Linked DNA regions of Stegostoma tigrinum. The main gene of each other region encodes a partner of the protein of the gene in region 2 in a complex. Links are inferred from orthologs where the notes say so. Each region holds a gene or a part of one and is shown on either strand. Other genes may lie near its edges. The genes, in order: ints11, ints4, ints1 and ints7.

Evidence for each region.
Region 1: the proteins of ints4 (region 2) and ints11 are in contact, whole or in part, in a cryo-EM structure (PDB 7BFP), measured with the Homo sapiens proteins. The link is inferred for Stegostoma tigrinum from reciprocal best matches to the Homo sapiens genes INTS4 and INTS11. Residues at the interface, in NP_291025.3 of Homo sapiens: Leu159, Asp161, Thr162, Arg167, Tyr203, Gln207, Asp244, Ser292, Gly294, Trp296, Arg299, Lys323, Met326, Ser327, Asp328; in NP_060341.2 of Homo sapiens: Pro183, Trp191, Lys194, Asp212, Gln288, Gln400, Gln404, Lys462, Met465, Ala466, Leu469.
Region 3: ints4 (region 2) and ints1 share a complex: the UniProt entries of both Homo sapiens proteins name them as parts of the integrator complex. The link is inferred for Stegostoma tigrinum from reciprocal best matches to the Homo sapiens genes INTS4 and INTS1.
Region 4: the proteins of ints4 (region 2) and ints7 are in contact, whole or in part, in a cryo-EM structure (PDB 8RC4), measured with the Homo sapiens proteins. The link is inferred for Stegostoma tigrinum from reciprocal best matches to the Homo sapiens genes INTS4 and INTS7. Residues at the interface, in NP_291025.3 of Homo sapiens: Glu536, Met539, Asp540, Arg571, His572, Ala574, Tyr575, Asp578, Ser579, Ser610, Phe613, Arg620, Leu624, Leu627, Gly631, Glu634, Leu635, Phe638, Arg641, Asp642, Arg645, Leu646, Glu648, Leu649, Gln650, Lys677, Leu678, Trp679, Asn680, Val681; in NP_056249.1 of Homo sapiens: Lys137, Asn138, His140, His141, Arg144, Gln145, Gly175, His205, His206, Asp207, Ala208, Ser244, Ser245, Leu246, Val247, Lys282, Thr283, Pro284, His285, Thr286, Thr321, Ile322, Lys325, His326, Gly686, Tyr689, Glu704, Gln707, Gln708, Leu711.

Annotation. Positions count from the first base shown.
Region 1 is NC_081381.1:29,356,486-29,363,732, forward strand, and holds the start of ints11 (integrator complex subunit 11), read right to left. Parts: upstream 3,014-7,247; 5' UTR 2,910-3,013; exon of another isoform or gene 2,899-2,909; intron 1,327-2,898; 5' UTR 1,243-1,326; coding exon 1,215-1,242; intron 1,102-1,214; coding exon 1,004-1,101; intron 1-1,003. Other genes in the region: cptp (ceramide-1-phosphate transfer protein), read left to right, coding at 3,100-3,218, 6,632-7,154.
Region 2 is NC_081359.1:108,917,217-108,924,287, reverse strand, and holds the start of ints4 (integrator complex subunit 4), read left to right. Parts: upstream 1-3,899; 5' UTR 3,900-3,984; coding exon 3,985-4,038; intron 4,039-7,071. UniProt on the Homo sapiens protein: Component of the integrator complex, a multiprotein complex that terminates RNA polymerase II (Pol II) transcription in the promoter-proximal region of genes.
Region 3 is NC_081376.1:18,252,184-18,259,738, forward strand, and holds the start of ints1 (integrator complex subunit 1), read right to left. Parts: upstream 3,065-7,555; 5' UTR 2,666-3,064; intron 2,132-2,665; 5' UTR 2,081-2,131; coding exon 2,026-2,080; intron 947-2,025; coding exon 665-946; intron 1-664. Other genes in the region: ADP-ribose pyrophosphatase, mitochondrial-like, read left to right, coding at 3,578-3,666, 7,129-7,383. UniProt on the Homo sapiens protein: Component of the integrator complex, a multiprotein complex that terminates RNA polymerase II (Pol II) transcription in the promoter-proximal region of genes.
Region 4 is NC_081362.1:54,598,128-54,605,997, forward strand, and holds the start of ints7 (integrator complex subunit 7), read right to left. Parts: upstream 3,076-7,870; 5' UTR 3,016-3,075; coding exon 2,922-3,015; intron 382-2,921; coding exon 252-381; intron 161-251; coding exon 14-160; intron 1-13. Other genes in the region: dtl (denticleless protein homolog), read left to right, coding at 3,198-3,246, 5,124-5,246. UniProt on the Homo sapiens protein: Component of the integrator complex, a multiprotein complex that terminates RNA polymerase II (Pol II) transcription in the promoter-proximal region of genes.

The DNA.
Region 1 (7,247 bases), on a different chromosome or scaffold from region 2:
TCCCAGTTGCGAACCGTTGCAACTCCCCCTCCCATTTCTCAGATGACATGTCCATCCTGGGCCTCCTGAAGTGCCATAACAATGCTATGTGAAGGTTGCAGGAACAGCAACTCATATTCTGCTTGAGAACCCTGCAGCCCAATGGTATCAATGTGGACTTCACAAACTTCAAGATCTCCCCTCCCCCTACTCCATCCCTAAACCAGCCCAGCTCGTCCCCGCCTCCAACCTATCCCCTCTCCCATTTCAAGCCCCACCCCCATCTCCTACCTACTAACCTCATTCCGCCTCCTTGACTCGTCCATCCTCCCTGGACTGACCTATCTCCTCCCTCCCTCCCTCCCCACCTACATTCACCTTTACTGGCTCCATCCCTGCCTCTTTGACCTGTCTGTCTCCTCTCCACCTATCTTCTCCTCTATCCATCTTCTATCCGCCTCCCCCCTCTCCTTATTTATTTCAGAACCCCCTTCCCCTTCCCCATTTCTGAAGAAGGGTCTAGGTCCGAAACGTCAGCCTTCTTGCTCCTCTGATGCTGCTTGGCCTGCTGTGTTCATCCAGCTCTACACCTTGTTATCTCAGATTCTCCAGCATCTGCAGTTCCTACTATCTGTGACTCCTGTTGTATTTGGTTTATTCATATACTATTTAGACCCAACAGCAAGAGTACAGAAACTATGGACCTTTCCTGGGTCACGGTGACAATCAATGCTTGTAGTGATAACTACAGTGGTTAATAAACCTACAACCTACTCCTGTTATGGTGATGGCTCTACCTCCAGTGATATGTGACACCGAAAACTGGGAACACTTCAACACCTGTACTAAGTCAGCAATGACCAACAATCACTGGGTCCACGTCCATTGAAGGAAACACGGATACACAAAAATTGACAAATGAACCATGTAAACTCAAACTGTAAAACACTGGCCAGATATCTCTTTATTTCACAAGCCTGTGTTTTCCTGTATTTTCTACCATTCGATTGTTCCATATACTTACATCATCATTATATCCCATGTGCATTCCACAATCCAGCATCACGTTTTTCCCACCAATTGAGACCAGGATACAACTGCGGCCCACATCCTGGCCAGCCCCTGAAAAAGCAAGGACTCATCATTCTGCAAGTTTTCTAAGTTCTTACTAACAATCATATCTAATAATGCTGCTCCTTGTTATTCTAGAGACAGCTGAATATTTGAATTCTTACCTAAAGGTGTGACCTTTATTTCTGGCATTTGCAATCAGATTTCACTGCAACTTGTGGTTCCAAGAATGTACTGATGAAATCAGTTAGTCATCTTAAATTCAGCAAAATGGATCTGATAAATTTAAAGCAGACTGTATCAGTAACAAAATCTCAGGAGATTTCAAGGCCCAGCAGTTTGGTCTCTCCTATGTAAGGGTAAGAAATGAGAGAAGAAGTGAGAGTATCATTGTGCAACAGGGAGACAGTGGTATGTACTGTGTGTTAAAGTCTAGAGGCGTGAACTTCACCTCCAAGTCACTGACAGAACTTTACAACCATTTTTTTCAACAGCTATATCCTAATATAAAATGTCATTTTCAAATACTGAAAGCAAGAACCTAAGAAATGGGAACAGGAGTAAGCTATTCGTACCCTCAATCCCATCCTGCTACTCAATAAAATCATGGCTTGGTGTGCGCTAATCCTCAGCTCCTCTCTTGTACCTGCTCCTCAGAGTTCTCAGCTCCTTGATATTTTAAAACTCTATTTACCTTCTCTTCAAATACTTTCAGTGATCTAGGCTACACAACTCTCTGGGATATTGAATTCCAGGCATTCACTATCTTCTGGGGGAAGAAATGCCTTGACATTGTTCAATTAATCTTTAAACAGTTAGTTTTAACCTCAACAGCCTGTCATGCCAGTTCTGCGCTATTTACGCCTTAAAATTTTTAAGAATTTTAAAAATCTCTGTGAAATCTCTAACTAAGTTTCCTTATTTCAGTGAAGAAAGATTCAATTTTTGAGCATATGGTCACAATTTTATTCCTGCTACAATGATCTGTGAAGAATCTTGAGGTATGTTTCAAAGAGAAAGTTACTACATAAATGGAATATTTCTTATCATTGTACCATGATTTGAACAAATTAACTTTGTTTTTATACTCAATGTCTGAGTGTACAAAGCCCTGAAACCCATCGACTCTTACAGCCTCTTGAATGCACATGTCCACCTACTAATGAAGATCTTCATAAAATCAACAGGTATACACTAGTCATTACTGGACAAAACAATTCCAGAGACTTGCACTAACAATTCAGAGAACAGGAATCAATAGCCCACTAAGAGAGCTTGAAAAATTTTAAGTGCATGCAAAGGATAATTAAAATACAAAAAACTGCTGTTGGTAACATTAAAGGTAACAAAGAAGCAGCCAGACTGTTGGAAAAAAAACTGTTTCACCACTATGCCCTCCACTAACAATTCAGTCATCTACTGCCTTTAAAATTGAATTATTCAAAAATTTGAATTCAGCAACATACGTCCCATTAAAAAAAACTGGGAACTATTTTTAAAAACTGTCAAATTTAATGGAATAGATTGTACACAACACTGGTTTACAGTGAGCTTTGCTGAGGAGCAGCAAAATTCCAGACAGTGACAATGAACAGGACAGCAAGCCAGTTGCGGCCTCCTTCACTGATTTAAACAAAAAAAAATCACACTTAAAGTCTCCAGGTTAACATTCATACGTTGCAATTTTAAAAATACAACTCAATTTATTATCACTTTCCCGTCGCATAATGATGGCGACGGGTTTTTAAATACACAAGGAGCCCTCTCAATTACAGCGATTCCCGTCCTACTCCTTTCCCTTTCCCCTAAACGCTGTTGTCACAAACCGGGCAGAAACAACACGCTAACCTCAGGCCTACCTCGGGCGACAGCAAGGCCGAGCAGGCCCTCGTTTCCAGGACACCCAGCACACCCACCCGACTGACAAGAGCAACGGCCAATGAGATGCTCGATCCAGGTGGGCTGGTGCTGAGGTGGGACTTCCGGCCGGGGACAGCCGCGCTGTGATTGGTCAATAAAACACCCTACTCCTTCGCTTCAGTTTCTAAAATGGCTCATCCAGATCGGTTCAGTCTGACTGAGGTCCTGGGGTCTTTCAAAGAATGTCTGACTGACAACGGAGAAATCCTGCAGGAACATTACTTAGAAGGATGGAAAGGACTGGTAAAGTGAGTGACTTTCAAAAAAAAATCCTTTCGCTCTATTGCTAACAGAACTTATGGAGACTGCAGACAGATGTGGAGAAGTTGAATTTTTCAATAAATATCTGGCAGATGGAATGTAATCTGGGAAAACGTGATGTTAATTTAGGAAGAACAAACGAAGAATGCCACCTAAGTGGAACGTATTTCTGAGGTGCAGAGGAGTTTTGATATTCTGGTGCACGAATCGCAAAAAAAACTTAGAATGTAGGTGCATCAACTAGTTAAGATGTTAATGGAATGTTATCCTTTATTCTGTGAGGAACAGAAGTAAGGATGTTATACTTGAAATTTTTAGCACATTGATGAGACCACATCTTGCAAAATTGTGGATGTAAGTGGGGTGGAGATGGTTCAGAGGAGGCTTAGAATCTGAATGCCTATAATGCAGATAGAGGCTGGAATCAAGCCCCGTCTCTGGCAGTGTGAGGCAGCAGTGCTAGATAATAAAGTGTGGGGCTGGGTGAACACACCAGGCCAAGCAGCATCTTAAGAGCACAAAAGCTGATGTCTAGGCCCGAAATGTCAGCTTTTGTGCTCCTAAGATGTTGCTTGGCCTGGTGTGTTCATCCAGCCCCACACTGTTATCTTGGATTCTCCAGCATCTGCCGTTCCCATTATCTCTAATCACTGTGCCACCCCAGTTTACAATTGTGTACTGGATTGATACCAGGAAAGTGTGCATCCTCCTCTGAGGAATGGTTGGACACACTGCTCATGTTTTCACGTGTTTAGAAGAGTCATGGGTGACTTGATTGAAATATAAGATCCTTCTTTTCACAAACTTGTGGTGCAATCGTGTCCCTTACTCTAGCTCAAATGGTTTTGGTTTCAGGTTCAAGTCCTACTTGTCCCAAAGATTTGTCATAACCTGTCCAAACAGGTTGATTAAAATATAAATAAGATCTTGACAGGATGGATATGGAAAAGATATTTTCTCTTCTAGGTGAGTCCAGAACTAGCTTGTGTTAATTAATGACTATACTGAAGCAGTGTTTAAAAACTAGGAGTTTTTTTAGGTTTCTTTTCTTTGAGAGTTGTGTAACCTTGGAACACCTTGACTCAGAGGGATGGCGGCAATGTCCTTGTGTATTTTTTAGGGTGGAGATAGTAAGTAATGTTTTTTTATTGTTAGGCAAGCAAATCAAAGGTTATTGGGAGTAGATGTGAATGTGGCATTCAAAACATGAACAGATCAACCATGATTTTATTGAATTTTGAAACTAAATAGAAAGGCTGAGTAGCCTCCTTCTGTTCCTAATTTGGATTTTTGTATAATCGATTTACTTAGTGTGAGGGGCCAAATCTGTTTTCACAAAATTAATCTGGGGAAAATGAGAATGAGAGCTATTTCTTTTTGCGATGCTGTATGGCGAGCATCACCTTGTTGTAAATTGTTCACTTGACCAATATACTGCATTAATGATAACCTTTTATAGATTGTGTATGTGAAACCATTATCTCCCAACCTACCAAAAGCAAAAATATTGGCATTATCTGGAATTGTAGAGTGCCTCTTGCTTCAGAAAAGAACAACTTAAGGTTTTAGGCTGTTATCCTTCTCCCAAAACATTGGCCTAGCTTTCATGCTGAGTAACATAGCAAGAATATTTGGTGATGTCAAAGAATGCTGCCTACAAAGATGTAGCACTCTCCATGGCATGTTTCTTCTTTCCTAATGTATCAGACATTAAGTCAAAGGAAATCTTGGTGTGCAGCAGCAGCAATGTTGTAAATAAGCAGGATAGGCAAACAACTGCCTTGAAGGATTTATCAATTGCAAACAAGGTCACTAAAGCTGTTAAAATATCTTGTTGTAAAATACATGATTAGATTTAAATACATTTTATTTTAAATATGTAGAACTCTTGATAGTAAAGATGAAATTTGACAATTTGCAAACATAAAATTAGCTTTTCAGGACCAGTCTTTAGTATTCTGTAGTTGTTATTTTGCCATTAAGATCCAAACACATCTTGGTCAATAAAGTGTAACTTTTTCTCAAGGGATTTTTACAATGAGTGAGATGAGACCAGAATAAAAAGTTCACGTCACTTCTTTGGTGTTTTGCCAGCGACTGCAGTCGAGGGGTGAGTCCTCACAGTGCACTTTCTGGAAAAAAAAAATATAGCATCACTGAAATAACTTCTGTTTTTCTAAATGAATTTGTGCATTTCCAGACTCCTGAAGTTGCTTTTGGTATAATTAAGTAAAGGCAGCACTTGCTGTCGGGTTCACTCATGTTACCATGGTAATATCTGAGCCAATAACTTCTAATGCATTCCCAAATCTGCTATTTTACTTGTATTTTATTTCATTCTAAGAAACACAAGTGAATTCTATTCAGAGATGCCCTAATCCTTTTAAATTGAGGTTTTACTTAATGGTACTTTCAGTTTTCAGTGAATTGAGTTGTGATGCTCAATGATCAGTGCTTGCACTTCACTGACATTGTAGATCAACAGATATTGGTAACATTTTCCATTTCTCCACAATAATAGAGTATATGTTCAAACAGGTGCCTTTCTAACACACAACTGGAAGTTTTAAACCCAAATTTTGTGTTCTGTCAACTTTCCACTTTATTATTAAAGCAAAATATCACTGATGCTGGAAATGAGAAATAAAAAGCATTCAAGAAACTTGGCAGGTTTGGCAGCATCAGTGGAGACAAGAACAGAGTTAATGTTTTGAATCTGATATGGCCCTTTAGAAGATTCTTTATACCATGTATTGTGGTAAACTTATTGTCAGTAGGTCACAACATCTAGAACATTAAATTTGATTTCATTTAATAGCTGCATTTGTAAGGAATATGCATGTGACCTGCTTATGTGTGAATTTCACTTGACAAATATCAGAGTAGCATTGGCATCAGTGTCTTATCAACTGATGTACATGAACATTCCTCGCCAACTTTGTGTTCCTCTCCTGAATGTATTGATTCTTGCTCATTACACTTAATGCATAGCACTGTTCATTACATCCCCTGTGCGTCTGAGGGTTCATGTCAGCAGACTGCTCAACCAATGGTAACAACATTGCTGGGCCCAGTCCCAATCTGTTGGGTGCTTCTAGCCTGGGTGTAACATGTAGCAGTCGTTCCCTCTGTAATCAACAAAGTACAGTTTCTACCATTCCCAGATCAGTGGAAAATCAGGGGTAGAAATTGAGATCTTTCACCTGCATCTTGCAAGATAAACTCCCAAAAAAGTAGCTACAATTTGAATTCTGGAAGTAGTAACCCACTTGGCAATGGAGTATTGTGGTTACTTTAAGAATATTGCTTCTCAATTTTTATTTTTAATTTTTGTTAGACCAGTAATTTACTTTTTAACTCTGTTCTAAACACTAAAATATGTCTGTTTATTACACTTTAGGTTTATGAACAGTCTGGGATCGGCCTTTTCCTTTATTTCACATGACGCTGTCACCAAAATCCAAATTCTGGAACACTACAGACGTGGTGCGAATGGTCAACAGTATCTGACGATTCAATCAATGGTGAAGTATGAAGTTGGTAACAAGCTTGTGGATCTGACAAAGCGGGGTGACCACTGGGATTCTGGCTGTCGTACACTATTGCGGCTCCATCGTGCCCTCAGGTGGCTACAGCTGTTTCTGGAGAAACTGCGAGTAGCTTCTGATGATAGCAAAACTTCTGTTCTTTGTACAGAGGCATACCAGGATTCCCTAGCTAAATATCATCCCTGGATAGTACGCAAAGCTGCAACTGTTGCCTTTTATATGCTGCCGAGCCGAGCAAACTTCTTTGAGGTTATGAATATGGGCCCAACAGAGAAGGTGGTATCTATACTGGGGGAAGCACTGCCGGTCGTTGCAAAGACTTATGACATTACAGAAGACCTGTACAGTCAATATGGCCTGCTTGATCTTCCTTAATCCTGTAGTTTGCACAAATAACCCACTTGTTTTACAGTGTTGGGTTTTTAATAGTGATATTTGCAAATACTAGCTTTGGCAATCAAAGATGGT
Region 2 (7,071 bases):
ACACCAGCACCTGGATAGGGAGAGAGGGGGAGGCGGACCGAAGATGCACCAGCGCAGTTCTTCCCCTCCCCCCACTGCATCCCAAAACCAGTCCAGCCTGTCTCTGCCTCCCTAACCTGTTCTTCCTCTCACCTATCCCCTCCTCCCACCTCAAGCTGCATCTCCATTTCCTACCTACTAACCTCATCCCACCTCCTTGACCTGTCCGTCTTCCCCGGACTGACCTATCCCCTCCCTACCTCCCCACCTATACTCTCCTCTCCACCTATCTTCTTTTCTCTCCATCTTCGGTCCGCCTCCCCCTCTCTCCCTATTTATTCCAGAACCCTCACCCCAACCCCCTCTCTGATGAAGGGTCTAGGCCCGAAACGTCAGCTTTTGTGCTCCTGAGATGCTGCTTGGCCTGCTGTGTTCATCTAGCCTCACATTTTATTGTCTTGGATTCTCCAGCATCTGCAGTTCCCATTATCTCTATTCTCAGTTCCTGTCAGTTTTCATTACCTTCAGCCTTATCCAACAAGATTATTGCTGATCAATTCCACTTTCTATCTTTCCCCCATAATCCTTGATTTCCTTACTGGTTAAAAATCTGCCTGTTTCAATCTTGAATCCATTTAACAACACGCCCTTGAGAGCCCTTTGTGCTGACACTGGTGGTGGAGAAATTATTGAAGTCTATAATGAAGGGTCAGTCATGCTTGACAAACCTCATAGGGATGTTTGGAGAGGCGACAACGGTGGTGGCCAGAGGCAAGTGGATGGATGCTGTTAAAGTGGACTTAGAGTCATAGAGATATACAACATAGAAACAGGCTCTTCTGCCCAACTCGTTCATGCCGACCAGATATGGCCTAACTCCACAGAGCAGCCATGATTTATTTGAATCACAGAGATCAGGTTCAAAGGGCTGAATGGCCTTCTCCAATTCCGAGGTTCCTAAAGAATTCCACAGATTCACTACCCACTGAGAGAACAAATTCTTCCTCATCTCTATAACAAATGTGAAACCCCTTCTTCTGCAATTATGCCCCTGCTCCGAACATATCCTATGAATTAAAATAATCTGTCAGCATAGATCCGATCAGTTCCCTCAGAATCTTTTGCATTTCAATTAGATTTCCTCTCATTCTTCTAAACTCTAATGAGTACAGGCCCAATCTATTCAACCTCTCATCATAAGACAGTCCTCCCATACCTGGTGTCATCCTACTGAACCTTCTCTGCACTGCCTCCAAAAACAATCTTCCCTTGGATAAGGGCACAAGATCGTTCATAGAATTCCAGCAGTGGTCGTTGCTTTAGTAAGATCTTGTTCACCTCAGGTCAGGATGGCAAATGGATTATAGCGGAACATCCAGCCATTTGTCCTTTTGTTCTTACTCCAGTTCTATGTAATAAAGATGTTTCTTTGCACTTGTACCACTTGATCTCCTGTGAAAATAACAGGGATCTGTTGTTACATCTCAGCTGAAGGATGGTGTATAGTTGTGAGTACCACTTTATAGGAAAGATTGGAGGCAGATTTACAAGAATGGTTCCAGGAATCAGAAACTTACAGTCTTTTTTTGTTCATCATGGGATGAACGCCCCGCTGGCAAGGCTAGCATTTACTGCCCACTCCCTATTAATCAGAGGGCAGTTCAGAGTCAACTGCATTGTGAGATAACAAAGTGTGGAGCTGGACGAACACAGCAGGCCCAGCAGCATCTCAGGAGCACAAAAGCTGACGTTTCGGGCCTAGACCCTTCATCAGAGAGGGTGATGGGGGGAGGGAACTGGAATAAATAGGGAGAGAGGGGGAGGCAGATCGAAGGTGGATAGAGGAGAAGATAGGTGGAGAGGGGACAGACAAGTTAAAGAGGTGGGGATGGAGCCAGTAGAGGTGAGTGTAGGTGGGGAGGGGATAGGTCAGTCCGGGGAAGACGGACAGGTCAAGGGGGTGGGATGAGGTTAGTAGGTAGTAGGGGGTGCGGCTTGAGGTGGGAAGGGGGGATAGGTGAGAGGAAGAACAGGGTAGGGAGGCAGGAACGAGCTGGGCTGGTTTTGGGATGCAATGGGGGAGGGGACGAGCTGGGCTGGTTTTGGGATGCAGTAGGAGGAGGGGAGATTTTGAAACTTGTGAAGTCCACGTTGATACCATTGGGCTGCAGCGTTCCCCAGTGGAATATGAGTTGCTGTTCCTGCAACCTTCGGGTGGCATCATTGTGGCACAGCAGGAGGCCCAGAATGGACATGTCGTCTAAGGAATGGGAGGGGGAATTGAAATGGTTCGCGACTGGGAGGTGCAGTTGTTTGTTGCAAACCGAGCAGAGGTGTTCTACAAAGCGGTCCCCAAGACTCCGCTTGGTTTCCCCAATGTAGAGGAGGATACACAACGGGTAGAGCGGATACAGCATACCACATTGGCAGATGTGCAGGTGAACATCTGCTTGATGTGGAAAGTCACCTTGGGGCCGGGGATGGGGGTGAGGGAGGAGGTGTAAGGGCAAGTGTAGCACTTCCTGCGGTTGTAGGGGAAGGTGCCGGGTGTGGTGGGGTTGGAGGGGAGTGTGGAGTAGACAAAGGAGTCCCGGAGAGAGTGGTCTCTCCGGAAGGCAGGCAAGGGTAGGGATGGAAAAATGTCTTTGGTGGTGGGGTCGGATTGTAGATGGCAGAAGTGCCGGAGGATGATGCGTTGTATCTGGAGGTTGGTGGGGTGGTATGTGAGGACAAGGGAGATTCTCTTTTGGCAGTTATTGAGGGGACGGGGTGTGAGGGATGAGGTGCGGGAAACTCTCGGATTCTCCAGCATCTGCAGTTCCCATTATCTCTCAACTGCATTGTGAGTCTGGAGTCACAGGAAAGGCAAAGCAAGTAAGGATGACCGGAGCAAATTACTGCAGATGCTGGAATGTGTACTGAAAACAACAAATGCTGGAGATCACAGGAGATCAGACAGAATCCATGGAGAGACAGCAAGCTAGCGTTTCGATCTCTGATGAAGAGTCATCTTGATTCGAAACATTAGCTTGCTCTCTCTCCTTGGATGTTGTCTGATGCACTGTGATCTCCAATATTTTGTTGTTTTCAAGTAAGGATGGCAATTTCCTTCTCTAAAAGACATTAATGGGCCATATGGGTTCTTCCAACTATTGACAATGGATTGATGGTCATCATTAAAGTCTTAATTCCAGATGTCTGTTGAACTCAAAGTCCACCATCTGTTATGAGAGGGGTGAGGCAGAAGGGGGGGGGGAATGGGAAAGATGGGAAATTGGGGGCGGGAAAGATGGAGTGGAGGGAGAAATGGCAGAGAGAGAGATGGCAGAATGGATTGTGGGGAGAGAATGGGAGATGGTGGGAGATGAAAAGGATGGGAGGAGGTGGGGAACGAAAGGATGGGACGTGGAGCGGAAGAGGGGATAGGAGGGGCGTGGGTCAGCAGAGGTAAGTGGGGAGGGGACAGGACGCAGGGGAGTGGGCAGAGAGGGCAAGGGGGAGAAAGGGAACAGGGATGCAAGGAGAATGAGGGGACGGAGAGGGAGGGGTTGACAGAGACCGAGAATGAGGGTAAGTGGGAGAAGGGAGCGGAGTGGTGGGAGGGACAGAGTAAGAATGGGTTGAATGGGGAGAGAAGTGATGGGGAAAGGGGGTGAAGGTGGAAGGGGAGAGAGGAGCAAAGACGGAGAATGAGGGGAAGGGGTGACAGTATGTGGAAAGGTGGAGGGTGGGGTCAGAAAGGGTGGGACCAGGGCCAGGGGGCGTTGCCAATGTGCGCTGGGGAGGAAGGGCCAGGGCGAGGGGGCGGGGCCAGGGCGAGGGGAAGGGCCAGGGCGAGGGGGCGGGGCCAGGGCGAGAGGCGGGGACCGTCCGGTGGTTTCGGGGGGGGGGGGGGGCGGGTCCACGGATGCCTACGGAAGCCTCTGAGAGCCTAGAAGCCGTTAATTCGGCAATTGCCGCGCGGTTTTGAGTTTGTCGTTGTTGTGCCTTCTGCTTCGCTACGCCATGGCGGCGCATCTCAAGAAGCGGGTGTATGAGGAGTTCACCAAAGTGGTTCAGGTCAGGCGGCTTTCCTCTCCTGAGACTGCAGCTGGTTGTGCCCTGCCGTTGCCCCTTCTCCTTCCTGCTCAGCTCCTTCCCCCTCCCGCACCGACCCTCAGGAAAACGGCCTCCTGCTTAGGCCTGAGGCCTAACCCAAGGCCCCTTTTAAAACAAATAACTTTGATGTGGAACGTGGATATTTGTTCAGCAGCTGTGCCAGGGCAACCTTTCGTAACCATACAGCTTTAACTTTGTACAATATCTTGAAGGTTTAGATAGGTTTGATTATTTAAAAACATCTGTTTTGCAAGAGGTTTAAAGTTACTGCTGTCAAAATTTGAGAGCCTTGAAAGTACTTTAACGTGGAAAAGTAGATATTTGCTCCAAAGTGAATCAATGGTTGGAATATAATTTAAAATTGTAGATTTTGTACGTTACATTTTAAAGCCCACTCATGATTTTGAAAACCTTTATCAGATCCCCTGCCCTCTTTCCGAGGAGGTCAGTTCCAACTTCTCCTACTTATCCTCATAACTGAATTGTCTCATTCCAGGAACTGTTCCTGCAAATTGCTCCTGTGCTCTCTCCAGTGCATTTGTGTCTTTCCTATAATGTGGTGCCCGCAACGGCCCTCAGAGCGTCCCACCCAGACCCATCCCTGGACATTACGGGCAATTTCCCATGGCCAGTCCACCCTGACCTGCACATCTTTGGACTGTGGGACGAAACCCATGCGGACACAGGGAAAATGTGCAAACTCCACACAGACAGTCACCAGAGGCTGGAATCAAACCCAGCACTAACCATCGTGCTGCCCCTTTTTAAGCAACTCATTGGGACACAGCAATTGGAGGTCCAACTAAGATTCGAACTTGGATAGCTGGATTCCAAGTCCAGATTGCTAACCATTACACCGTGGAACCGACTGCAAACAAGCAGGGCTTCACGACAGAATTCAGTGCACTCCAGACAGGACTTGAACCCGCAATCCCTACCTTGGGAGGGCAGTGCCTTCTCCATTAGGCCACTGGGGCCAGGCATATCTAGTCACCTCTTGAATACATTCAATGTTTTGGCAACATTCTCCCCATGTCTGCAAGGGTTTCCACCAGATGCTGTGGTTTTCTCCCACAGTGCAAAGATATGCAAGTTAGGCGATAACAAAGTGTGGAGCTGGATGAACACAGCAGGCCAAGCAGCGTCTCTGTGCTCATAAGATGCTGCTTGGCCTGCTGTGTTCATCCAGCTCCACACTTTGTTATCTCAGATTCCCCAGCATCTGCAGTTCCCATTATCTCTGAATGCAAGTTAGGTGGACTGGTCGTGCTAAAATTGCCCATAGTGCCTGGGGATGTCTGGGTTAAGTGGATTTGCCATGGGAAATATAGGGTTACAAGGATAGGGGGTGTGTGTGGGGGGGGGGGGGGGAGTGGGGGCTCTGGGTGGGATGCTGTTTGCAGTGTTGGTGCAGACCAGATCGGCCAAATGGCCTGCTTTCATGTTTTAGGGATTCTATGATTCTACATCCACCTGCAGCAAAACCTGTACAACAGCAGGTCTTGGACTAGTGAGTGGCAAGTAAAGTTTGTCACATGGGTGCAAGACCATGATCATCACCAAAAAGAATCTGGCCCTTAGCATCAATGTCACTCCATCACTCAGTACCCCACTATCAGCATCCTGGGAGCTACTATTGACCAGGAACTGAAACTTGCCCATTTTCTACAGTTCATAAGTCAGGCGTATGGTGGAATACTCCCTGCTTATGTGGATACGTGCAGCACCAACAACACCAGATGATTCAATACCATTCAAGAAAAAGCCACCTGTTTAATTTGACACCTCATCTTCCACTTTCAATTTTCACACGCTCCACCACCAAGGCACAGTCACAGTGGATAATGTGTATCTATAAGCTGCTCTGCAGCAACTTACCAAGGCTCTTTAGAAAGTATCCTCCAGATTTTTGACCATTGTCACCTAGGAAGTCAGGGGTAACGGATACATGGGAAAACCACCACTGCAAATTCCCCTCCAGGCTACACACCAACCTGACTTGAAAATATATGCCTTGCCTTTACCGTTGTCATGTTAAAACCCTGTGGGTGTATCTATATGCCATATACTGCAGCACTTGCAATAAGAATTTGGGATGGATAATAAATTCTGGCCAGCTAGCAAAAAGTGCATACAATGAATAACTGAAAAATATTATCCCCCATTTCTCCCAGTGTCATTCTGCAGAATCTGTGTTGTATTCCCCCCAAGGCCATTATACCCATGTTGAGGATCAGTGCTCCATGCTGAATGTAGTGCCCCAGATGGTTTCATAGTTGTACATGACCAGCAAGACCCATGAATGCTCCCCAAGAATACATGCTACAAATTCTGTGCAGTGACAAATCCTATAAAAGGTGGCCTGCTATTACTGTTAATTGAAATGGTATTGTTTGTCTTGGTCTAAGCCCGTCTGTGCTACAAGACTGTGGATTGAAACTCCAATGAGAGTGTTGTCCTTGTCATCCAGCTGATTTGTTGCAGTACCAGTGGGATGATGCATAGTCAGAAATTCCACAGCGCAAACAAGACACTGAACTGAAGCTGAATCTGTCTTTTGCAGATTGAAGAAAAGAGTCCCATGCCACAATTTGTCTTAGACCAAGGAGGTTCTCCCAGTTGGTGACACAATCATCTGATTCAAGAGATTATGATCTCAAGAACCATCCTAACCAAGAGCAGTGAATTTGAACAGAAGCATGGCATTTAACATAGATAACAAAGTGTGGAGCTGGATGAACACAGCAGGCCAAGCGGCACCTTAGGAGCACAAAAGCTGGTGTTTCGGGCCTAGACCCTTCATCAGAAAAGGGGGATGGGGAGAGGGTTCTGAAATAAATAGGAAGAGAGCGGGAGGCAGATCAAAGATGGATAGAGGAGAAGATAGGTGGAGAGGAGACAGACAAGTTAGAGGGACAGGGATGGAGCCAGGAGAGGTGAGTGTAGGTGGGGAGGTAGGGAGGGGATAGGTCAGGCTGGTGAGGACGGACAGGT
Region 3 (7,555 bases), on a different chromosome or scaffold from region 2:
CCATTCATTTTCATATTTTTTGCAAGTTTACCCTCAAAGTTTATCTTCCCCCTTTGTTTTGGTGTCATTTGTTGGTTTTTAAAACTTTCCCAATCCTGTGGCTTCGCACTAATCTTTGCAATACTCAATGATTTTCTTTCCTTCAGTATATTCCTAAAATGTGATGCTGAGAATCTGGTACATTACTGCTGCTGAGGCCATATCGACATTTTATAAAAAGGTCTTTATAACATCCCTGCATCGGTATCTGTATCTCTATGTTCATATCCTTTTATCACCGCTATCTTCACTGATTCCTGCACTTAAACTCTAAGTGCGTCTGATCGTGCATCTGCTCTAAAAACTTATTTTATAGTTCTTTTCTTCATTTTCACCAGCAAAATCTATTATTTCACACTTCACTACATGAAAATTTAATTTGCTGTTCATCTGTCCATATCTTCTTGAAGTCTATCACTGTCATTCTTACTTCCAAGTGCAAGTATTTCCGGTTTTTTTTTCGAAATCTTGGGAAATAATGACTTGGAGTTACAAACTGTGCAATGAACTTTTATTTCAGTATAGTGAAAATGCTCAGAGAAGCAAGAGCATGCTATTCTTAATCTCAGGTATTAGATCATGCAGAAAGGTGCACATCACTCAATACCCTGCAGCCAATACTTGCCTTCAATTGGTACGACAGATGGCTCTTTAATAGAAGGTGATATGGCCCGTTTCTCTGCGACTGCAGCCTCTGCCAGGCGTCCAAGCGCACTCAATGGTGGAGTGGAAGATATCTTTGGGCGTTTTGAAAGGCCAGAGGTAGAGGTCATGGCTGACGATCCCTCACGTTTTCTATCAGACTGCAATCCAGTCTGCGCTGGCTTCAGCAGTGTTCCCGATGCCTTGGCATCAGAGGCCTGGTTCTTCGACCCCAGTGCTATAAAGTCCCCAGGGGGTGGATGCCCTAAAATAAATAAAATTTCAACATACAAGAGAAACAGAGACAGGTGGTGTTGCATATATAAACAGGTTGCAGGTTGGTTTTTCCAACTATCACCCTTCAAGTGAATGCCAGTAAGGTCAAGCTCTTCAAATTTAGGATTGAACAGCAGAAGTGATAACAGAGATCACATGCAGGAACAGAAGCTAACATGATTAATGATGGCTTCCCCAAATTTTCAATCAGAGGAGTTTGCCTATCTTGACCTTTCAACCAGCCCAGGAAAACGGGTGGAAAGTCTCATCTTTCTGCAAAATCTCTCAAAACAGAAACTAAATTTTTTTTAAGGGAAAAGCATTCATTGCTTTGGAATGTAAGCCAGGAGATGGAATTAAGACCAGCCACTAGCTTTATGAATGGCAGAACAGGCTCAAGTGGCTAAGCAGCCTCCTCCTGTAACAATCATCATCATCATAGAAACATCAGAGAATCCCTGCAGTGTGGAAACAGGCCCTACAGCCCAATAAGTCCACACCAATCCTCAGAGTATCCCACCCAGACTCCATAGCCTACCTAATCTATACATCCCTGCACACTTTGGGCAATTTAGCATGGCCAATTCACCTAGCCTGCTCATGTATGGACTGTGGTAGGAAACCAGGAGGAAACTCACGCAGACACGGGAAGAATGTACAAGCTCCACACTAAGACAGTCCCTCAAGGGTGGAATCAAACACGAGCTCCTGGTGCTGTGAGGCAGCAGTGCTAACCACTGAGCCACCGTGCTCACCTTGGCAACAGTTCCAAATGAAGGTGAAGCTGGACAGTGTAAACATCAAGTTTTTGAAGATCCATGGCATTAATGCTATCCTATCTTTCACCATAGTTCATTGTAAAGTTTGAAAACTGGTCGTCTCAGAATCCTTGTTCAAGTTTTAAGGAATTCATAATGGAAAGGTAAAGTCAAAATGATGGACTACTTGTACACCAAACACAACCTGCTTTCAGGCAAGTCTTTTCAAATTTTACATTGTTAAACAAAGGAGCAAATGTTTAGCAAAAGAAAATAAATCTACATAATTTCTATAAGATGCCGCACTCACCACTAGGTTTGGCACTGCTGGGGCGCCGGATTGCCACAGCTTTTGATCGGTTCATCCTGGTAAACTATACACTTCACTTTCCCTTGTTGTTATGAATGTGTGCAGCCTGTCAACAACAAATACAAATGCACAAAAACATTAAAAAGGAAACAAATAAATCTGCAAGTGCTGGAAAATGTGAGATAAAATAGTAAGGTCTCAACAATCCATTCACATCTGGAAAAGATGATCCCTGTTTCAGGTGCACACCTTTTATTAGAATTATGGACATACTGTCAAAAAGACTAATATTAAGACTAATCAAGTTCTTTATAACAAACTTAATACTGAACATGGAAAACAGCTGTGTCATCAAACAAGTTTTAATTTGTACTTTAAAAGAATTTTTTTCACCGTGTACATGCTAGGTTAGTGGTCAATGCAATACGTCAGATTGCAGCACACATTTGTGTACCACCAACTGGTGCTCAGTGGCAGTCCTGACATTTCTGAATTGGTAGATCTAGGCTCCAAACCCCACTCCAGATTTTTTAAAAGGGGCATTAAAATCCAGGAGGGCACACCAATACTGGTTGGAGGGAGTGCTACCGATTAGAAATGCAACATTTTCAGTGAGATATTTAACCGAGACCCAACTAACCTTTCAGGTGGGCAAGCAGATCTCCTGGGTCACTACAAAAGGAACAGGGGAATTTTCCTTCGTGTGCTGGCTCTGGGCAACTACTATATGGAAATCCAAATCACTATGAGTGTCACAATGTTGCTTACGGGATCGTACTGTCCTCAAATAGTCTTCAATGTTCCCACATTTTAACAGGGGCTGCACGCCTTTAGCTGTAACGCGCCTTAAGGATGTAAGAGGCGCTACATAAATGTTGATCAGTCTTTTAAACCCAATTAAAGGGCTCTCGACCAGTTAACGCTCACAAGGCGAAGGGTAGCCTACGTGTACAGTAATTGATAAGTGACAGGCCTCCCCTGGGCCCGGCTAACCCTCTACGTGCCCGGGGCTGACACCTTCCTCTCTCTCCCGGTGCCGTGTCACACCCTTCCTCCCTCCCCACCCCCTTCCGTGAGCACACACTATCCTAGGGAAACAGTCCCACCCGGAGCGGCTTGTCCGCGGGCCGGAAGTTGTGGGGCAGAGGGCCGACGTTCGTCCGCTGCCATTCAAATGGATTCCGCTTGTGATTGGCCCATTCCTGCAGAGGGTGGGGCCATGATGATCGAATACCAGGGAGAGACAACGTCAGAGTCTGAGTGTGACCAAGGACGAGTGTGGTCAGGGAGTGTCAGTGTCAGTGTTGTAGGCTCCAAGGACGTGATTAGCCAAGGATTGAGCAGGAGGCTGTGTCTTTAGGTTTGGAAGTGGGAACCTGACCAGTTAATATAAACAGGGCTAAGTGTTAGCATCTAAGTGTTGGGCTGTGACTGTGAGCAGGCTGAGTGTAAATGTTGTGGAAAACAAGAATTGAAAGCTGTTGGTGTGATGGGACTGGAATTATATTAGGTGGTCTGGATGTGAGCAGAAACGTTGTGAATCTGACTAATTATGAGTTTTCCCAAACGTAATCTATGGAGGACAATGAGTGTGTGCATGGTCTGCACTGCCCTCCAATGCTGGATTTGGATCAGAGACAGGTACAGTGACTCTGAGATGCCACGTCTGAACCCCACTCTTGGTTTTGAAGATCAGTCTCTGTCTGTAGTCAGTGTCTGATTTTGGAGGTACTGCTGTGTCCCAGATGGGTGAAGCCTCTGAGTTAAACAGAGTATTCCATCTTGGACCAAATGGCCTCCATCTGCACTATGTATATTTTCTCCATTAGAATTTTTCATCGCAGTGGTGCAGTCAAATAGTCATAGAGATGTACAGCAAGGAAACAGACCCTTTGGTCCAACTCATCCATGTTGAGCAGATATCCTAAGTAGATCTCGACCCATTTGCCAGCATTTGGCCCATATCCCTCTAAATGCTTCCAATTCATGTATCCATCCAGATGTCTTTTAAATGTTGTAATTGTACCAGTCTTCATCTCATTCCATACAGCTACCACCCTGTGTGTGAAAAAGTTGCTCCTTAATTCCCTTTTTTAAATCTTTCCTTCTCACCTTAAACCTGCGCTGTCTAGTTTTGGTTTCCCCCACCCCTTGGGGAAAAGACCTTGTTTATTTACCCTATCGATGCCCCTCATAATTTTATAAACCTTTATAAGATCAACCCTCATTATCTGTTACTCCAGATAGTTTTGTTTATTAACTCTGAGTAGTGCATGTAGTGAACTCAGTCCTGCATGTGTACTGGAAATGAGGATGTTCCAGGCAGGGCTAAGTTTGGGTATTATAGCGAGGACCGGTAATGGAGATATTGCAATCTGTTCAATTCCCTCCTCTACGTGGAAAAGAAAATTCAGTTGGAAATGTTGAAAAATACACTTACACGCAGAAACCAGCTGAAACAGAAAGATGCTCTTTCATTCTGTCCTTTTCACATCTTTGGATAAGTCAAAGTGCATTTAGGTTCAATAAAGTAATTTTGAACTTCAGTCACCGGTGTGATGCAGCAGAGAATATATTCAGCGTGAGCGCCCACAAACGGTAATGTGACAGTAACCAGACACTGTAAAATCCCCAGATAATAAAATGTGAGGCTGGATGAACACAGCAGGCCAAGAAGCATCTCAGGAGCACAAAAGCTGACGTTTCGGGCCTAGACCCTTCATCTCTCTGATGAAGGGTCTAGGCCCGAAATGTCAGCTTTTGTGCTCCTGAGATGCTGCTTGGCCTGCTGTGTTCATCCAGCCTCACATTTTATTATCTTGGAATCTCCAGCATCTGCAGTTCCCATTATCTCTGATACCACTGTAAAATCCCCATTGTCCAGATCAGGGTGCCCACGTGAGAGCACTTAACAGAAATCCTCCTCCTTCCATTTCATGTTGCAAGTTTGAGTTGATGGTAGTTGTCTTTTTCCTACAAGGGGGAATTTCAAGACTATGGGGCACATTTTTAAGGTGACAGGAGATCGAGTTAAAAAAATGTAAGAGGCAGTTTTTTTTTAATACAGGGGATGGTTTGCGTGTGGAATGAACTTCCTGAGGAAGTGGTGGATGTGGACACAGTTACAATGTATGGATAAGAACAAGACCTTGAAAGGTTTGGGGGGGATATGGGCCAGGAGCAGGCAGGTGGGACTAGTTTAGTTCAGCATGGACTGGTTGGACCGAATCGTCTGTTTCCCTGCAGTATAACTCTATAATTGGCTATGTGTAACAACAAGAAGAAGCACTGCACATTCCAAACTCATGTTCACTTCCACCTAGCAGAACGAGGACAGCAGATACACAGGAACACTACCAAACTGCAAGTTTCACTCTTAGCCACCCACCATCCTGCCTTGGAAATATTACTGATTTTTCATTGTTGTTTAATCAAAATTCTGGATGTTTTGCCTCCACTTAACTGTATTGTGGATTTATATACAGCATAGGGACTGCAGCAGTTAAAGAAGGCAGCTCACCACCACTTTCTCAATGGCATCTAGGAACAGGCAGCAAGTGCTGGCCCAGTCAGTGACACCCGTGTCCCACAAATGAATAAAACTAAAACCAGCGGGAGTAGATTTGCTTGCTGGAACCTGATCATTTAGTCACCTCTCTTTCTCCTTTTGATCAAACCTTACTGACTGTATTTATGAGTGGTCCCAGCCACAACCAATCGATTTGTGTAATGAGCACACCCAGTCCCCATGCATGCCAGATACTGGGGAGTTTACTGTAATCTGTTCTCTAGATGTTATTGCGGAATGACAATTGGCCAGAATTTGTTGACTTTGTACCTTCTCTCCAGATAGTCCAATGAGATCTTTTACATCTACTTCAGGTGGCAGGCGGGATCTTAGTTGAGTATCTCATTGCCAAAGACAGAACCTCAAACAGCGCAGTACTTCCTCAGTACTCCATTGGCAAATGAGGTTATATTTTGCCTGGTCAAGTCTCTGGAGTGAAATAAGACCACCATTTTCCTACTCCAACGGATGTATGTTTACCTACTGAGCTACGGCTGACAACAATGCCTTCTGTGGTTGAACAGTTTTAACACTGCCACTGTTTGTGAGTTCTTGAAGAGGCAGTTGGCTATCATGTTGCTGCAGACCAGACACAGACGGGAGAACTGGATCATTTTCAAAAAGCTATAAAAATTGCTAAACAGCCACAAACAAAAAGCCTTTTATTTTAGAAAAATTCTTGCATGCCTGTAAATGTACGTGGCTGTTTTGAGGAAGTGAGGCAGGAACATTTGAGCTTTTTATTTCTGTCAGCAAGTTTCATTAATTGACAGCAATCTCAGCAACAGAAATATAAAAAGGAATCGATTGTGTTCATCCAGCACATGCAACTCCACTCCCCAGTGACCAAGTGCTATTGAATTATTCATAGCATTCTGCTGAGGAAGAACTCCAGTCAAAGGTTAGTGATAATGGGAACTGCAGATGCTGGAGAATCCAAGATAACAAATTGTGAGGCTGGATGAACACAGCAGGCCCAGCAGCATCTCAGGAGCACAAAAGCTGACTCTTTCTGACCACCAGCAGTCTCTGACAAAGAGATTTCCAGCAGCCTCTCGATCCACACAGATCAGGGTGGGGCAGATCACTGAAGATTAAATCTGTAGCTGGAGAAAATGAGATTCTAAGTGACTGGAGAAGGATTTGAACAGGTACAGCAAGATGAAGGGTTTGAGGTAGATGGGGAGGGGCAGGTTTCTGAAAGATTCCTTGAAACGGATGTCGTTGTATACTGAATGATGCATTAAATAAGTGTGTTTAGGAGATTTCAGTTGCAATTATTTGGATATCTCAAACCCAGGTCAATTCAAGAAAATCTGAAAAAATTCACTGCACGAAATGGGCCAGAATTTAGTAAGGAACTTACACTGATGCAATGTTTCTCATGACTTTGTCTGTGACTTCAATCATTGAGGAAGTTTCTGAACGGTAGTCATTATATTGGGGTAGAAGTGGTTCATGTATTGAGAGACTGGAGTTCTTTGGGGTTGGGTTTCTCAAGAAATAAGTTCTAAATGATAGTGTTTCTATTTCAGTGTCTGCCTTGCCCAGTCTGGTTGGTATAAGCCTGCAACTTACCCAGTGTGCGACGCCTCACATCAGAATACAGAAAGCTTATCGATGATTCACGTCAAGGCACGAAAGTCCCCGTATCCAGGGTCTCAGGTCCAGCGCTTCCCTGTCCCTGACAGCTATGTTAGCTGGAGCGTGGCATGGCCAGAATATGAGCCAGTGGATTACACAGCAGATAGTATCCAGGCTTGTCCTGTGTGGGCAGATCCTGACTACAGGTAATATGGGGGACGAGGGAGGAAGGGTGGGTTGGAAGGAGAGAGGACAAGATGACAGCGGGGAGTGGAATCTCTTCAATATCTGGCTGTGGGTCTCTTCACCCAGCATATGAATGTGTTTGTCCGTCTGTCCCTGCCTATGTGCTCACTTAAAATCTGTCTGTCTAGACCC
Region 4 (7,870 bases), on a different chromosome or scaffold from region 2:
GAATTTTGCTTACCGGAGAGTGATGGCTCTGGCCACTGGATCATTGCTGTGGATGACTGAGAAGACTCTCTTCACAAATTCATCAACATTCAAGATTTTCTCCAAGTGCTTTTCACTCTGCTGAGTGACTTTCAACACACACATTCTCAGAAAGTTGTTTCTGACAGAGGGAAATAGTTAAATCACATTTGTTACAAAACCTATGTAAAATTAATTGTTTGAACATTCTTTCAAAAGTTGTTGATACTTACCCAACTCTGAAGATGTCTGCAAGCTTCAAAAAAGCAGAGTTTATAAGAATCGGAAATGGGTACTTTTGAAACAACCTAGGGAAACGAACAACTGCCTCACATTGCTCACCAAGTTTCCCTGATCTCAGTCCTTGAAAGATAGGATAAAAACATTGCAATTGGTACTTGAACTCACTACAACACAGTTCAAAAGTTTAGATAATTTAATGTACACAGCAATTCAGAAAACTTCTCATTATGAAAGTCTCATATTTTTAAATGTTTAAGTCTTGAGGTAAAATACAAAATTTCATTTGTAACAGGGGTCACTAACCTGTGTTATATGTTTTATTTGCAAACAGTCTGACCCGTGCTTCTGGCTGTTCATCGAGTCATTCCTACATAAAAGGCAAAACTCTTCCCTAATGCTTCCCATACCAAATCCATGTTACACCATGTCACTGATTTTTCAAAAATAGAAAGATCCCTACCACAACACCTGATGTAAACCATTCAACATAGCAAATCACCTTAGTCTGGACTGCTTCTTCATGTTTCCACTTTACATTTCTAATTTTTAAAAAAATTTTGTTGTAATATACTTTACACAATTAGTTTCAAGAGACAAAGAATAAGACTAGTTCCAATAGGTGGGTTCCTCAAACTGCAGATTCCAATCCATAAGATGATAAGACATAGGAGTGGAAGTAAGGCCATTTGGCTGCTTTGGAGAGGGTTCAGAGGAGGTTTACCAGGATGCTGCTTGGACTGGAGGGCTTATCTTATGAAGAGAGGTTGACCGAGCTCGGTCTCTTTTCATTGGAGAAAAGGAGGAGGAGAGGGGACCTAATTGAGGTATACAAGATAATGAGAGGCATAGATAGAGTTGATAGCCAGAGACTATTTCCCAGGGCAGAAATGGCTAGCACGAGGGGTCATAGTTTTAAGCTGGTTGGTGGAAAGTATAGAGGGGATGTCAGAGGCAGGTTCTTTACGCAGAGAGTTGTGGGAGCATGGAATGCGTTGCCAGCAGCAGTTGTGGAAGCAAGGTCATTGGGTCATTTAAGAGACTGCTGGACATGTATATGGTCACAGAAATTTGAGGGTGCATACATGAGGATCAATGGTCGGCACAACATTGTGGGCTGAAGGGCCTGTTCTGTGCTGTACTGTTCTATGTTCTAAGTCCACTCCGCCATTTAATCACGGCTGATGGGCATTTCAACTCCACTTCCCTGCACTCTCCCCATAGCCCTTAATTCCTTGTGAGATCATGAATTTATCAATCTCTGCCTTGAAGACATTTAACGTCCTGGCCTCCACTGCGCTCCATGGCAATGAATTCCACAGGCCCACCACTCTCTGGCTGAAGAAATGTCTCCTCATTTCCGTTTTAAATTTACCCCCTCTAATTCTAGGGCTGTGCCCACGGGTCCTAGTCTCCCCGCCTAACGGAAACAACTTCCCAGCATCCACCTTTTCTAATCCACATCCAGACTGTATAAATGAAATACTCATGCTTAAGTACACTCCATAAAATCCCACCCTCAGTTATCCATCATGGCCCAATGCGTCTCACACCACCACTCTTGGCTTTATGTGATAGTGCTGATTTGCTCAAGCGACTGAACTCTGCTGCAACCTCTGAATACAAATTTTCAATTGATGGAAATTTACTTCCTGTTAGGTGGAAATTTCAGAGAAAAGGAGGGTCAGCAAGTTGTCAAGTGTGGCAGTAAATCCTTCACACACAGAATATTCATCCATTAACCAGCTCAGTGCAAAATAACTGATGTAACTCTCATGAGTTTTGGTGAAAAAAGGATACGTCAAATGAAGCAGTACGCAAGAAGAGCAGCTCCTTAGATAAGCAAAGAGAAAGGCAGCACCTCAATGAAAGTGGATGGGGAGTAAGGAGGTAAAACGTGACTCTGGGCTGGGGGCAAGGGAGACAGACTGATATGACTTATGAGCTTACAACAAAGGAAACATTCAAAATAAGTCTATTGTATATGTTGCTTGACTGCTCAGACGTTAGCATAATGTCAATGTTGCTTAGACTTAACACTTCAAATTGTGCTCATGTAACAACTTTAATGTCTGTTTTTTTTCTCTTTTATCTACAGCAAACTTCAACATAATTAGGGTCATCGGCTATGATCTGTGAATGATAATTTCAACGGTATTTTGACCAGGATAAGAGCTTGACAAACTTAAATAAAAGGTAAACACAAAATACAGATTTATCAATTTATCCTTGGAAATAACTGGAGGATTTCAAACACTGTATAAGCCATTCAAACCGGTCAGAAAAATGTTTATGATTTGTTTCGAACAAATTTGAGATTTGATTTAAAACTCAATAAAGTAAGTTTCAATCCTAATAACTAAGGCCGGGATTTTAATACGCTACTTTTCAGAAAATAACAATCAGTTCACATCCATCAACATCTAATGGGCAGATGCAAGATTTTAGAGCCAGTTCCAAAGACCTCCACAATTCAGCGAGAAAGTTTAAACGTTTGGAGAGTCTCACTGAGAGTAATAATAAACACCGAAACGCAGCTGCTGCCCCGAGACGGTCCCAGATATTCTACTGCACGTTTTAAAGGCAGTTTGGAAAACGTTCCGCCGGTTTGTTAAATCCGAGAAAAGAGGAGGGCCAGCGGGCAAGTTGCGCCCGATACGTACCTTTATCCAGCTCCATCAGAGCAGAGTTGGCGTCCATTTCCTGCTCTCCATAACCACCTTCCGACAAAAACGGCCTAGCTGCTGCCAGCGCCATGATTAAACACCTACTCTAACCGCAGGGAACCAACCGTCTTCTCCCAGTAATGCACCGGGAGCGGAGGTAACAGCGGGACGACAAACTTCCGCATGGCGGCCAATCAGCGCGTGTGACGTCAATTTGGCGGGAGGTTGCAGAGCGCGGGAGTTGTGTTGAATTCAGTCGCCGGGAGTTTTAAGATGTTGTTCCATTCTGTGCTCAGTAGCAGAATTTGTAACAGAACGCGAGGTGAGAAACTACTCCAAGGTTATAAAAGGATTGTGTGCGCCTTTCTTTAAAGACATCACGGTTGTGATGTATTTGTGAAACATTACGTAGTATTGCTTGTTTAAGGTTTATTCATCAGAATGCTGTGCTCAGTGTTTTATTTCGCCAAAACTAATCTCAATCTTCGTAGCTGTAAGTAATCATTTAAAAATAGAAATTTGTCTAAGTTTTGTTATTTGAAGTGCAAATCAATCAAGTGACTCTATAATTGTATTGAAATGCGAAATTCCTGCAGGAAGTTTTATTGTTTTGGTCTCAGCTACACGAATTTTCGAAGAGAACAGCTATTTCGTCTACTATACGCATCACTGTCGTTGTCATTAACATGTTGGTAGGCTTCTAAATCTTACGAGAAAGCACGAATATAGAGCTACTTGACTGGATATTCTAAAAGGAGTTCAATTAAGGCTGTGGTTGAATGCTTTTTGAACGGGGCACAACAACATTTTTTAAATTGGGTGTTAGATATTTCTCGTATTGATAAAAGTTTTTTTATTTACAAAAAGAGGTATCAAATTGTAATAATTACTGCTCACCTGCCACACATTGCCTTTCAATTTACGATTTATATCGCGCTTGTTAGTTTAATGGTGCAGAGTGAAGTTGGATACAAAATCCCTCTCTGTCTCTCCCTCTCTCATATATATCTATCTCTATATATATATATATATATGTATATATATATATAGCTCTACCTCCCCCTCTATATACCTCCATTTCTCCCTCTCTGTCTTGCTCCCTCGCGTGCGCGCTCTTTATATCTGCCCCCCCCTCTGTATCTCTCTGCCCCCCCCCCCTTGCAATTCACATCAAGCAGATCTGCTAATGTGGTACATGTATCCGTTGTTCCCGTTGTGGCCTCCTCTACATCGGGGGAAACCAAGTGGAGGCTTGGGAACCATTTCGCAGAACACCTACACTCGGTTCGCACCAAACAACTGCAGCTCCCAGTCGCGAACCATTTTAACTCTCCCTCCCATTCCTCAGACGACATGTCCATCATGGGCCTCTTGCAGTGCAACAACGATGCTACCCAAAGGTTGCAGGAACAGCGACTCATATTCCGCTTGGGAACCCTGCAGCCCAACCATATAAATATGGACTTTACAAGCTTCAAAATCTCCCCTCCCCCTACCTCATCCCAAAACCGCCCAGCTCGTCCCTGCCTCCCTAACCTGTCTTTCCTCCCACCTACCCCCCCCCCCCCCCCACCACCACCACCACCACCACCACCACCACCACCTCAAGCCCCAACCCCATTTCCTACTTGCTAGCCTCATCCCACCCCCTTGACCTGCCTGTTCTCCCTGGACTGACCTATTTCCTTCCTACCTCTCCACCTACACTCACCTTTACTGGCTCCATCCCCGCCTCTTTGACATGTCTGTCTCCTCTCCACCTATCCTCTCTATCCATCTTCTATCTGCCTCCCCCCGTTTCCATATTTCTGAAGAAGGGTCTAGGTCCGAAATGTCAGCCTTCCTCCTCCTCTGCTGCTTGGCCTGCTGTGTTCGTCCAGCTCTATGCCTTCTAGGTGCATGCATGGTTAAATGTCTCAAATCATTCTGAATGATGAATGATCGCTTTTTTGTTAAAATGATGAAACAAATAAAAATTATACCCTATTCATGTGGATATCTCTTTATGGAATTTACTTATCTTAAAATTTCCTTTTGGTTGCCATTTTTCTTAGCCTGCACAGCAATGAAACATTGCTGTAAATTTGTATGCATGGAATATCTTATACAAAAGACAAGTTGCAGTCACTGCAGAGTTTTTTTTTTATTGTCAGTTGCTTGTCTGTTAGTTTCAACAAAATTTTATCTTTTTGTGTTTAGAGTCTCACAGCTACTCGTTAGAGACTCTGCTGCAGTATTACCAATGTAATCGGCGAGATGAACACACTTCATACGGTGACCTTGGGGCAGCAGTACCTCCATTTGGCTGCTTGTGGTCTACAGGTAAATTGACCTCTCCAGTGCTTGACTGAACTTCTTGCACACTTACTGTGTCTCTCTAATTTTAATTAGTTAAAAGCATACATTAGTTTGGAATCATGAAGTTACAAATTTGATTGCCACATTCGTGAAGTTACAGCCTGATTATCCAGAGCAAATAAGTGGTGCCTATGAAATAAATATTGTCCTCCTCAGTGATACTGAGGAACAACATGTGGACCAGTTGGATATTAAAAGTTCTGGGTGTGAGTTTGCTCGCTGAACTGGAAGGTTCGTTTTCAGACGTTTCGTCACATTTTTTTATTTGAAAACATATATTTTATTCATAAGATGTACGAAAAAATAAAACATATTTATACACCTACCCAGTCATGCAAGCCGCTTTGGGTTACCCGGGGGTACTTACACCAACGAAAGAAAAAAAAAGCAAAAAAAATACCCCGGCAGTTGTCACCCCGTACAGTCCCAGTTGGCCCCCTGACCAGTTGGGGAAGGCGCCAGCCGGGCCCAGTTACCAGATAGGGCCCTTTTTCTCTATTCAGGACGAGGGGTTTCATACCGTGGTATTTCCCCACTGCGCCTTGGCGGCGGCTGCCCAAGCTTTAGCGCGTCCCTCAGCACGTAGTCCTGGACCTTGGAGTGTGCCAGTCTGCAACATTCGGTCGGGGTCAGTTCTTTCAGCTGGCAGACCAGCAAGTTGCGGGCACACCAAAGAGCGTCTTTCACCGCATTGATGGTCCTCCAGGTGCAGTTGATGTTGGTCTCGGTGTGCGTCCCGGGAAACAGCCCGTAGAGCACGGAGTCCCGCGTCACAGAGCTGCTCGGGACGAACCTCGACAAATACCACTGCATCCCCCTCCAGACCTCCTGCGCATAGGCACACTCCAGAAGGAGGTGATCGACAGTCTCGTCCCCCCGGCAGCCACCTCGAGGGCAGCGTGCGGTGGTGCAGAGATTCCAGGCATGCATAAAGGATCTCACTGGCAGAGCCCCTCTCACCACCAGCCAAGCAATGTCCTTGTGCTTGTTTGAAAGTTCTGGCGATGAGGCATTCTGCCAAACGACTTTGGCAGTCTGTGTGGGGAACCATACGACGGGACCCACCCTCTCCTTTTCCTGAAGGGTCTCGAGGATACTACGTGCTGACCACTGCCTGACGGCCTTGTGGTCAAAGGTGTTTCCTTTCAAAAATTTCTCCGCAAAGGACAGGTGGTACGGAACGGTCCAACGGGAGTCCTATTCCTCTCCAAGGACTTGAGGGCTCTGGTCAGCTCGTCCAGGGATATCGGCCGGTCTAGCCACTCCCTCGTGCCGTCGCCTAAGACCTCCGTGATAGACAACAGGAACGACTCGGAGGCCGTGCTGTCCGTGGGCTTTGTGTCGTACGGTCCGGCATAGAAGGATCTGCTGATCCTCAAAATGTCGGGCCGAGACGACGTCACCGAGCAGTCGTCCTCCTTCAGCCGACTAAGCACAGAGCTCTCTTTGTGCACCTTCTGAAAGAAGAAACGCAAGCACGTCTCGTCCTGCTCCACGGAGCGGACCCTGGACTGGAAGATTATCCTGGAGGCCTCCGCGGCGAAGAGCGACGCTTGCTGGCCCCTCACCTCACGGAGGTCCTCCGTGACAGCGACCCCCATCAACTGCAGAAGGAGCAGGTTCTGCACCCTTTTCTGGAGTCGCGACAGCTTTCCCCGCGTCTCTCTCGCCTTCCGAACACCCTTGAGGGCAAAGAACCTCTTGATGTTCTCCTTTACTGTCTCCCACCAGTCGCCCGGAGACTCAGAGGGGTTTCACGGTTCTCCAACCAGTGTACTCCCTCTTCAGCTCCTCGACGTTCTCTGGGGTCAACAGAGTCGTGATGAGCTTCCACGTCCCCTTGCCGGCCGGCCGGTCATCCTGTAAGTGACAGTCGGCCAGCAGGAGGTAGTGGTCAGAGAAGAACACCGGCTCGACGCCGGTGGACCTGACTCAGAACGCCCGTGACACAAACAGGAAGTCTATCCTTGAGCGAATAGACCCATCTGGCCGCAAGCAGGTGAACCTCAGCTGCGCTCCGTCTGCAGGGGTGCTGAGGACGTCGAGCAGCTTGGCGTCCTTCACCGTGCCCATCAGGAATCTGGACGTGACGTCCAGTTGACTCTTCCCCCCCCCACCCGCTGTCCCCACGCTGGATCCTCCGTCTGCATCGATGATGCAGTTGGAGTCTCCGCCCAGGATGACCGGCCTGGACATAGCCAGCAGGTGTGGAAGCCGCTGCAGGACGGCCAACCGCTCATTCCATACCGCTGGGGCATACACGTTGATCAGCCTCAGGGGAGCGTTCCTGTAGGTGACATCAGCCACTAGGAGGCGCCACCCCCCCCCACCACCTCCTGAACTTGAGCGATGGTGAAGTCGCGCCCCCGCAGCAGAATAGCCAGGCCCGAGAAGCGACAGTCGTTATCCCCCGACCAGATCGAAGGCCCACAGGTCCAGGCGCCGGACCATTTCCGTACCTGCCGAGGTGTGGTATCCCGCACTCCCTGCAGAAACAGGAGGTCCGCCTTGAAGGTGGTCAGTTAGGCCAACGTGGATACACATCTTGCGGTGGACTTGACACTGCACACATTAATGCTCGCAACTCG